Tribolium castaneum: one gene and its partners. The protein of the gene in region 1 binds, or shares a complex with, the protein of each later gene. Links are inferred from orthologs where the notes say so. Each region holds a gene or a part of one and is shown on either strand. Other genes may lie near its edges. The genes, in order: DNA polymerase epsilon subunit 3, PolE4 and transcriptional adapter 2-alpha.

Evidence for each region.
Region 2: DNA polymerase epsilon subunit 3 (region 1) and PolE4 share a complex: the UniProt entries of both Drosophila melanogaster proteins name them as parts of the DNA polymerase epsilon complex. The link is inferred for Tribolium castaneum from reciprocal best matches to the Drosophila melanogaster genes Chrac-14 and PolE4.
Region 3: DNA polymerase epsilon subunit 3 (region 1) and transcriptional adapter 2-alpha share a complex: the UniProt entries of both Drosophila melanogaster proteins name them as parts of the ada2a-containing (ATAC) complex. The link is inferred for Tribolium castaneum from reciprocal best matches to the Drosophila melanogaster genes Chrac-14 and Ada2a.

What each region holds. Positions count from the first base shown.
Region 1 is NC_087394.1:1,508,932-1,511,146, reverse strand, and holds DNA polymerase epsilon subunit 3, read left to right. Parts: upstream 1-1,149; 5' UTR 1,150-1,221; coding exon 1,222-1,492; intron 1,493-1,540; coding exon 1,541-1,650; 3' UTR 1,651-1,666; downstream 1,667-2,215. Other genes in the region: centrosome-associated protein 350-like, read right to left, coding at 1-800; E3 ubiquitin-protein ligase LRSAM1, read right to left, coding at 1,783-1,902, 1,954-2,177. UniProt on the Drosophila melanogaster protein: Accessory component of the DNA polymerase epsilon complex. Participates in DNA repair and in chromosomal DNA replication. Histone-like protein which promotes nucleosome sliding of ATP-dependent nucleosome remodeling complexes.
Region 2 is NC_087395.1:5,462,295-5,464,233, forward strand, and holds PolE4 (DNA polymerase epsilon subunit 4), read left to right. Parts: upstream 1-858; 5' UTR 859-966; coding exon 967-1,179; intron 1,180-1,229; coding exon 1,230-1,370; 3' UTR 1,371-1,386; downstream 1,387-1,939. Other genes in the region: E3 ubiquitin-protein ligase Hakai, read right to left, coding at 116-303, 355-562. UniProt on the Drosophila melanogaster protein: Accessory component of the DNA polymerase epsilon complex. Participates in DNA repair and in chromosomal DNA replication. Has a role in cell cycle progression. Required for wing morphogenesis.
Region 3 is NC_087398.1:11,845,063-11,848,828, reverse strand, and holds the start of transcriptional adapter 2-alpha, read left to right. Parts: upstream 1-1,507; 5' UTR 1,508-1,588; coding exon 1,589-1,649; intron 1,650-1,692; coding exon 1,693-2,545; intron 2,546-3,766. Other genes in the region: rhodanese domain-containing protein CG4456, read right to left, coding at 747-1,178, 1,234-1,236. UniProt on the Drosophila melanogaster protein: Component of the histone acetyltransferase (HAT) complex ATAC; predominantly involved in acetylation of histone H4, including at Lys-6 (H4K5ac) and Lys-13 (H4K12ac).

The DNA of each region.
Region 1 (2,215 bases):
TTTGTTTCCAGGGGCGGAGTCCCGGAATTCTGCACCCCAATGTCGATAAAATTCCGGGGCGAATTCACAGCAAACTGCAATTTTCTCTTAACTGTGTTTATAAAATTGTACGGATACGCCGCACAAGGGGGCTCCAGCCAGGGCGCCCCCTTGTCGCACGTTTGCGTCTCTTTCGCCTCAGACGACGTTTTCGCCAATTTCTGGGGCTCCCGGGCCTTGGCCCTCGAAATTCTCTCGCTTTTTTGCGTCTTTTCGGAGCCCTCAGAAACTTTTTGTGCGGGCGACTTCGAGCGGTCGATTTTCGGGGGGCCCCCCTTGTCCTGTGACTTCGGGCGGTTGGTTCGGACAAGGGGGCCCCCTTTCTCCCGCGCCTTCGAGCGGTCGATCCGGACAGGGGGCTCGCCCTTGTCCCGCGATTTCGAGCGTTCGCGCTTCAACTGCACGTTTTTTGTCACCAGCTCGAGTGTTTTCTGGTGTAATTCTTTCAGTTTTTGCTTTTTCAGATCGAGTTTATTGTCAGTGGTGTTGATTTGGGCCCGCAATTGTTCGGCGCGTTTTTCCCGCTGTTTTTTGATGTAGTTACGCGCCTCGGTGACGTCATAACTGCGGGGCTTTTTCTCGGGATCGGGGGGCGCCTTTTTTTTAACGGTTTGGGTATCAGGGGCTGGCTTGTGGGTGGGGGGCTCAGGGGGCTGGGTCCCAAGACTTATGAGCTTCTCTAGCTCGGTTTTGAGCTGTTCGATCTCTTTTTTTGTGTTTTTTACACGAGTGCTGACATTTTCCACTTGGCTTATGGACATTTCTGAACCCCCTTTTTTTAGCGAATTACGACTGGAAATTGATTAGACTGACGTACAATTCACGAATTGACCCACATTTGTGTTAATTTAGGTGAGAAAATGCAAAATTAACTCACCTTTTTCACATATTTTCAAAACGTCAACCGTTTATAACATAACCTCAATAACCAAGGCCAACAAGGGTGAATAGTTCAAGGCCCCCCACCAAAACTGCAAAAAACAGCCCCTAAAATAAACCACCCCATTCGTCACGAGCCCCCCAAGCTTAATTAAACAAAAAACACAAATTTATAATTATTAGGTGACCAATAATAAACAAATTAATGATTTTTTAATCAAAATTCAAACATGGCGGTTGGCATTGCGCATGCGCGTTTTTTGTTTTTGGTGGGAAAAGTAATTTTGTGAATTTTGTGACCAAATGGCCGAAAAACTGGAAGATTTGAATTTGCCGAACATGACGGTGCAAAAGATAATTAAAGACGCATTGCCTGAACACGTCAGTGTTGGTAAAGACGCCCGTTCGGCCCTGTCAAGGGCCGCTTCAATTTTTGTCCTGTACATAACCTCACAAGCCACCAAAGAGGCGCAAAAAGTGAACAGAAAGACTCTTCTGGGTCAAGACATTCTAACAGCGTTAGAAGAGCTCGAGTTTGACGAATTCGTGGAGCCCTTAAGTGTGATGCTGAGAGGTTAGTTTTTTTTTGAGGTTATGTTCACGTTTCAAAAACCGACTTCAGATTTCAAAGAAGCGAAGCAGAAGAAGAAAGTGAAGAAGGGGGCCGACGTTGAAATGGCGGAAGACAACGACGAGGAGGCCGTGGAAGAGGAAGAAACGGGAGAATCGTAATAAAAAATAAATTTTTTGTGATAGTTTTTTATTCATGAGAAAAAGTAACAACTGACTAGATTAAGGCCACAAATCGTGCAGAATTCACACTTTAGCAACACTGAGCAAAAAAAGTGACGGCAGTTGAACGAACTATGAAATTATTCTAATTTTGCGTTCGATTGAAGTCCTGCACATTGGACAGTCGTTCAAGGTCACAGGACACTGGGAACAGCAACAGAAGTGTCCACATGGCACGAAAATCACCTCACACTGCAAAAAAAAAACACCAAAATTCGCCTTAATTTGAGATAAACAACATACAGTTGAGTCCAAACAAATGACGCATTCAGTCCCCAAATTTGCGACATTTTCGAGTGGTGGCGCACTTGCCTCTTCGATTGGCAGCACTGGAGCTGAGGGGGCCGTATCGGTCGGTATTTGCTCCTTTCGGTACATTTGGAATGCGTCTAAAATGTGGACCCGGTCCGATTTATTCACAATTCCCACTTCTTTGAGGTCGCTTTCTGTGATTTTTGCAACGTTGCCTGCAAATTGGTTAAAAATCGGGCCAAAGTAGGCACTG
Region 2 (1,939 bases), on another chromosome or scaffold:
CAATTTGATTAAAATTTAATAAATCCCCGTTTTTAGATTTAAAATGATCAAGCCTTGTTTAAGTACATTTTTGCGGATATTTTAGTAGAAAATGTATTAAAAATAAAGAGTTTACCATTCGTCCATAGATTAAAATCGGCTTCAAACACTTATCACAGCAATGAATCATGGGATTGAGCACTTTTTCGCCAATCAAATTCACTTTATGTGACCAATCTAGCCGCAACATTGGTTCTGGTGGCCCTCTGTTAATTGTTGTAAAAGTCGGTGCTTCCAGTTGGGAGATGTCAGCTTCCAAATCAACTATAACATTCAATTGTCATTCAAGGCTGACTTTAATTCAATTAAATTTACTTTTAGGTGCCACATTTTCGTTAGATTCACTTTCAGTTTGTTGTGCCTCTTCGGACGATTCTTGCAGTTGGGAATTATCCAGTTCTTCATCGCTTTCTATCACTTTTATGGCCTTTTTACCACGTCCGCGACCTCGGCCTCTTCCCCGACCTCTGCCTCGACCACCGCGACCCCGGCCGCGGCCCCTCTTGGGGGTACCATCGTCCATCTATGGGCAGAGTTATTGCAACAAACCCAACAAAACACTAAAATAGATGCGGTCAAAGTTATTACCTTTTATTTACTTGATCGTTGACGTAAGAGCGTCCATAATTTTGAGGTTAAGACTTTGTCAAATGAAGGGATACCAATCCACTTGGTACATCATTCAAAATTGAATACAAACCGCAATAAATTAACTTAATCAATAAAATTATCAATCCCTATCAATATACCGCATAAAAATAACACAACTGTGAGACAATCTAAGCCAAAATTGTATTTTATTACTAATTTTTTTAAATAATTTGGGGGATTTCGTTTTGTAACCACCTTACCTGACTTTGAATAGCGCGCGATTGAGGTTATGTTGTGAAACTTGAGTGGTATTTATTTAAAATTTTAACAAATAAAATGGAAGATATCAACGAAGTGGATATAGAAGAGATTGAGACTGAGAGGCAGCCCGTTACCGAAACGCCAGAATTCGTAGAATTAACCACAACATCCCCCGAAAAACCCAAATTAGTGAAACTACCCCTAGCTAGAATTAAACACATTATGAAAATGGACCCAGACTGTAATTTAGTGAGTCAAGATGCCCTATTTCTCGTGACCAAATCAACGGTAACAAAAAAAATTTGAGTGTTAGCTTAGGTACTCAATTAAAATTTCAGGAGATGTTTCTGGAGCACCTTGCTAAAGAGTCTGGCAAGTTTATGGGGATGGGGAAAAGGAAAACTGTACAGAAGCGAGACGTCGATGCCGCAATTGATAATATACCTAGTCTTTGTTTCCTTGATGGTGCCTTGGAATAAAATACTTTTAAGATTATTTTCAGTTAATTTTGGTAAATCTTATCCTATTTTCGTGTTTGCGCCTTCGCAGTTATGTTTAAAAAAAAAACAAAGAATAAATAGCAGATCTCTTTTCGAATTTGGAAGTTTTTTGTCTTTTCGGCAAATTATTCCTTTCATTTTCACTGAAAAATGTTTCTAAATTCACAATAGAGAACCTAACTAAATTAAGGATTTTCCAATTAGCTTCGGAAAAATCATTTGAATTTACATATTCGACGTAGGTTCATATGTTTTCTCTTTTTTGCCAATGTATTTCTAGATTAGTGAGTTTCTAATTGAAGAACACTCGCAAAATTCTCGAAAAATAATAGGAGTAATAGAATTAACATATTTGCGTCAGATTTACTCTAACAAGTTTCCACTTTATTTAGAACAAATCTCACAAAACGGTGAAATATGTTTTCAAATAAAGTCATATACAGGGTAAACCAGGGGTGTCCAATCGGTCCATAACATTTTAGCTAATTGATATATTGCCATGTCGTTTTTATTATCCCATATAACATGCTGATTCTTTTAGGACCTAC
Region 3 (3,766 bases), on another chromosome or scaffold:
CTTACACATTTTACAACAGTCACTACGTGCCCTACGTTAATTCACAAAATGATGATTAATGAGTCTGTCTTTGTTTTTGTTGCATCTCACATCTTCAGTTTTTCTCTGAATTCTACCCCCCTAGGTAATGTTGGGCACAAAAATTGGGACAATGAGAGGAAATAAATAAGAAATATTGAATTGAAACGCTTTTATATTAATCAAAAAGATTCAACCAGTGAATTCTTGAATGACATGTTAAAAATCAAAGCGCATGCGCGCGCACTTTTTCAATTTGACAATTAACATTTAAAAAATCCAACAAAGAAGACGAAAAGTTCGAGGAAACTGTCCCACGTTATTAAAAGTACGGAAGGGGGTCATGGAGTAGGTAAATGTTGTTTTCAAAACGGCGCTGATGTTTTTTTGCAATAAGTGTTTGTGTCCACATTGGCGCTGGATGCTCCTAACATCAACAAATGAAGAAATCGTATCTAATATCCACTTCAGGGCAAAACACATGCAAAATTATTATTTGGTTTTGCTTTTGTGAGTATTTTTGACTTATGGTGATCAGGCCTTTCAAAAGGTGTTATCATTCAAAAAATTTTTGACGAGATTTGTAGATTGCAAACTCTTTTTGACTTATTTTTTAACATTCCATGTTTATCACTTTTGTGCCGCAGTAAATAAGTAAATACGGCACTACCTAAATCCAAATCAAACTACAACCCCTACACTCATATAACGTATTATTTATTTACAACTCAAATATTTTTACTTTTTTCCTCCCACTCTAGCCACCCCCCGGAATAATTCTTTATATCTTTGAACCCCAACTTCGTCGCAATCTCGGACGCAAGGGCACTACGTTTCCCCGAACGACACGAAAAAATTAAGGGGGTGCTAGAATCAGGTTTAGCCTTTTTGTAAGTTTTTTGAAATTGTTCAGAAGGCATGTCTTTTAACACTTTCTCGACTTCGCCAAGTGGAATATTGATGCTGTCAGGAATAACTCCGGTTTCCTGCAATTCGTGGGGCTCCCTGACATCGATTAGAAGAGTCTTAGGAGTCGTTTTTACTGACTTGACTTCATCAAATGAGGCGATTTGCGTTGCGAAAAGTCTAAGAAAGACGGGCGTTTTGTTCACAAGGGAGAGGATTTGGGGCCCCCTTGATAGCGACATTGGTAACCTAACCTAAAAAATAATTATGTAATTAACTTAATTGATTAGTTTTTGTAAAGTGAACTACCATAGCGCCAATAAAGCGATTTTTACTATTTTTTATCGCCTGTTTTATTAAATTACGACAGTTTTGGCAAAAATCAGTTTGGAGACTTTTTACAGTCACCGTTGGTATCACACAATTCACACAAAACAAATTAGAGGTCCCGTGGCTACAATCAAATTTTCCCCAATTATTTTTTTTTTCACGTTTTATGCCGATTGCGTTCGAATTACATAATAATTTCATAAATAATCGTCAAAAAACACCGCACTAGTAAAGTGCTAGTGCTTTAAATTTTGCCAGGTAGGCAGCGCTTGCCGCTCACATAACCTATGCACATAACCTAAGTTTTTGTGGTATCCAAACAGTTTTCGAAAAAATGGCAAACGCAAACACCGACTTAACCGAAGAAGACGCCGCTGACTTGCAGTTTCCCAAAGGTGAGCCCCCTTGTTTACTTCTCGTTCTCAACTGAGGTTTCAGACTGTGGCCCCCCTGCGTTTTACTCTAGTGACTCTGATAGTGTTTGTTCGAATTGTTCGTGCGATTTGGTCGCGCCTTACATTTATTGCGCTTTGTGTAAAGTGAATATTTGTTCGCTGTGTTTTTCGAAAGGTGCGGAGTTTGGGGGGCACAAGAACGATCACGATTATCACATAATCCGCGACGATTTTCCGGTTTGGGGTAACACGGACTGGACGGCTCGGGAGGAGGTGGTGTTGTTAGAGTCGTTACAAAAATACGGGAACTGGAATTTAGTGGCGAAAGAGTTCCCAAATCGGAGTGTGAGGGAGATTAGGGCGCACTACGATTGGTTTTATTTAGACAGAAAGGGGTCCAAAGACTTGCCCGAGGCGAGCAAAAGGGACTGGTTTTGTGAGCCGGTGGTGCCCTACAGACAGCGGATTAGCGACACCGATGAGCCCCCTCGCTACTCCCCCAACACAGTGGGGTACAAGTCTTTGGCCGGTTATAACCCCGCGAGGTCCGATTTCGAATGCGAGTTCGATTCGTCGGCTGAGGATCTGCTCTCGAACCTTAAACCGGTTGATAAGGACGATCCTCATTTTGACTTGATCACAAATCTTCAATGTGCGATCATTCAGAGTTATAACCGGCGGTTGAGGGAGCGCCAAAGGTGGAAAAAAATCATAAGAGAACACGGATTGATTATTCTGCGGAAAGTTTACGCTTGGCTTCATCGGTATGACGTTACGATTACACGTCCTGTGTATGAAAAACTGATCCGATTTATGCAATTTTGTACTCCTGTCCAGTTCGAAATGTTGATGGAGGGGTTACACCACAGCGGCGAACTCAAAATACAAATTCTTAGGTTCATATCAAACGGTTGAATTAATATAAAGTTGGTTATTTTCCATAATAGCGGCTTATTGAGTTCCAAAAAAACACGACGGAGAAAAAAATGTTCACTAAAGATTAATAAAAACAAAGAAAAATGTTAAAACATACTTCAACAGTTAGTGGCGTGACGAAAAATAATACAATTTGTATTTTGGAAAAAAAAACACTTGTAAAATTCGATGAAAAATTCTCAAACTCTTCAATATTCACGGAATTTTACAAAACATTGTGTTCAACTCGTAAGTTTTTTCCAGAAAGAATTCACTTTTTCTATCTCGTTGCACAAATAGCTATTTACAATGGAACCGTTTTGGTTTAAAAAAATCTCGCGAAAAAAGTTATATCACTCGCTAAATGCAGAATTAACATTTTTTTCAAACAAATCGGCGCTTCAACACTCGAAAAAGCAAATATAATGCTAATTTCGTTCTAATCGCAATTTTTTTGGCTTCTTTTTGAGCAAATGTTGCGAAATAAATGTGTTTTTATGGATGAACGTGGTAATAAATCTCATAAATAGTAAAATATTGTCATCTTCGAGCAGATTTTTTAAGCAAGTTTAGCAAAATTTCAGTAAAAATTGCGTTTTACCTTAAAAAAACGAGCTTTAAAATATGATAGTTAAGAATATAATTACATATATATTTAATTATTTTATTTATTTATATAATATATAATTGTTATTATTATTTATATTTTATTATATTAAATATAATTAAAAATATAATATAATAATAACAATTTGGTGATTACGTTTTTTGAAGAAATGCTAAACTTTCGAAAAAGGCAGAGTAATTAAATTAAATTTCTCGTTCAAAAAAGGAACTTAATTGAGCAAAGTAAACTAAAATAACCCCAATTTAGATTTAATTCTGTGAATTTCTAGCTAGAGAATTTTTAAACACTTTAATTTTTACCTTAAAACATGTATAAAGGCTCACAAAAAGCTGCAACATAGCATTAATTTTGGTCTTTAAAAATCTTCGGCTTGCAAAAGCAAAAGTTTTGACTTAATTTTGTGATTTTTTTGAGTAACATCTTTTTTTGATTGATTGACAAAACTCCTCATTTTTTGGCCAAGAAAAACGATCGACTTTTGTGTTATCTCCTCCTGGTTTATGCTTTTATGTCATTTTTAAACACAATTTAAAAAAAAATGCTAAAACACGTGAAATTGCAAAGTAATGTTTTT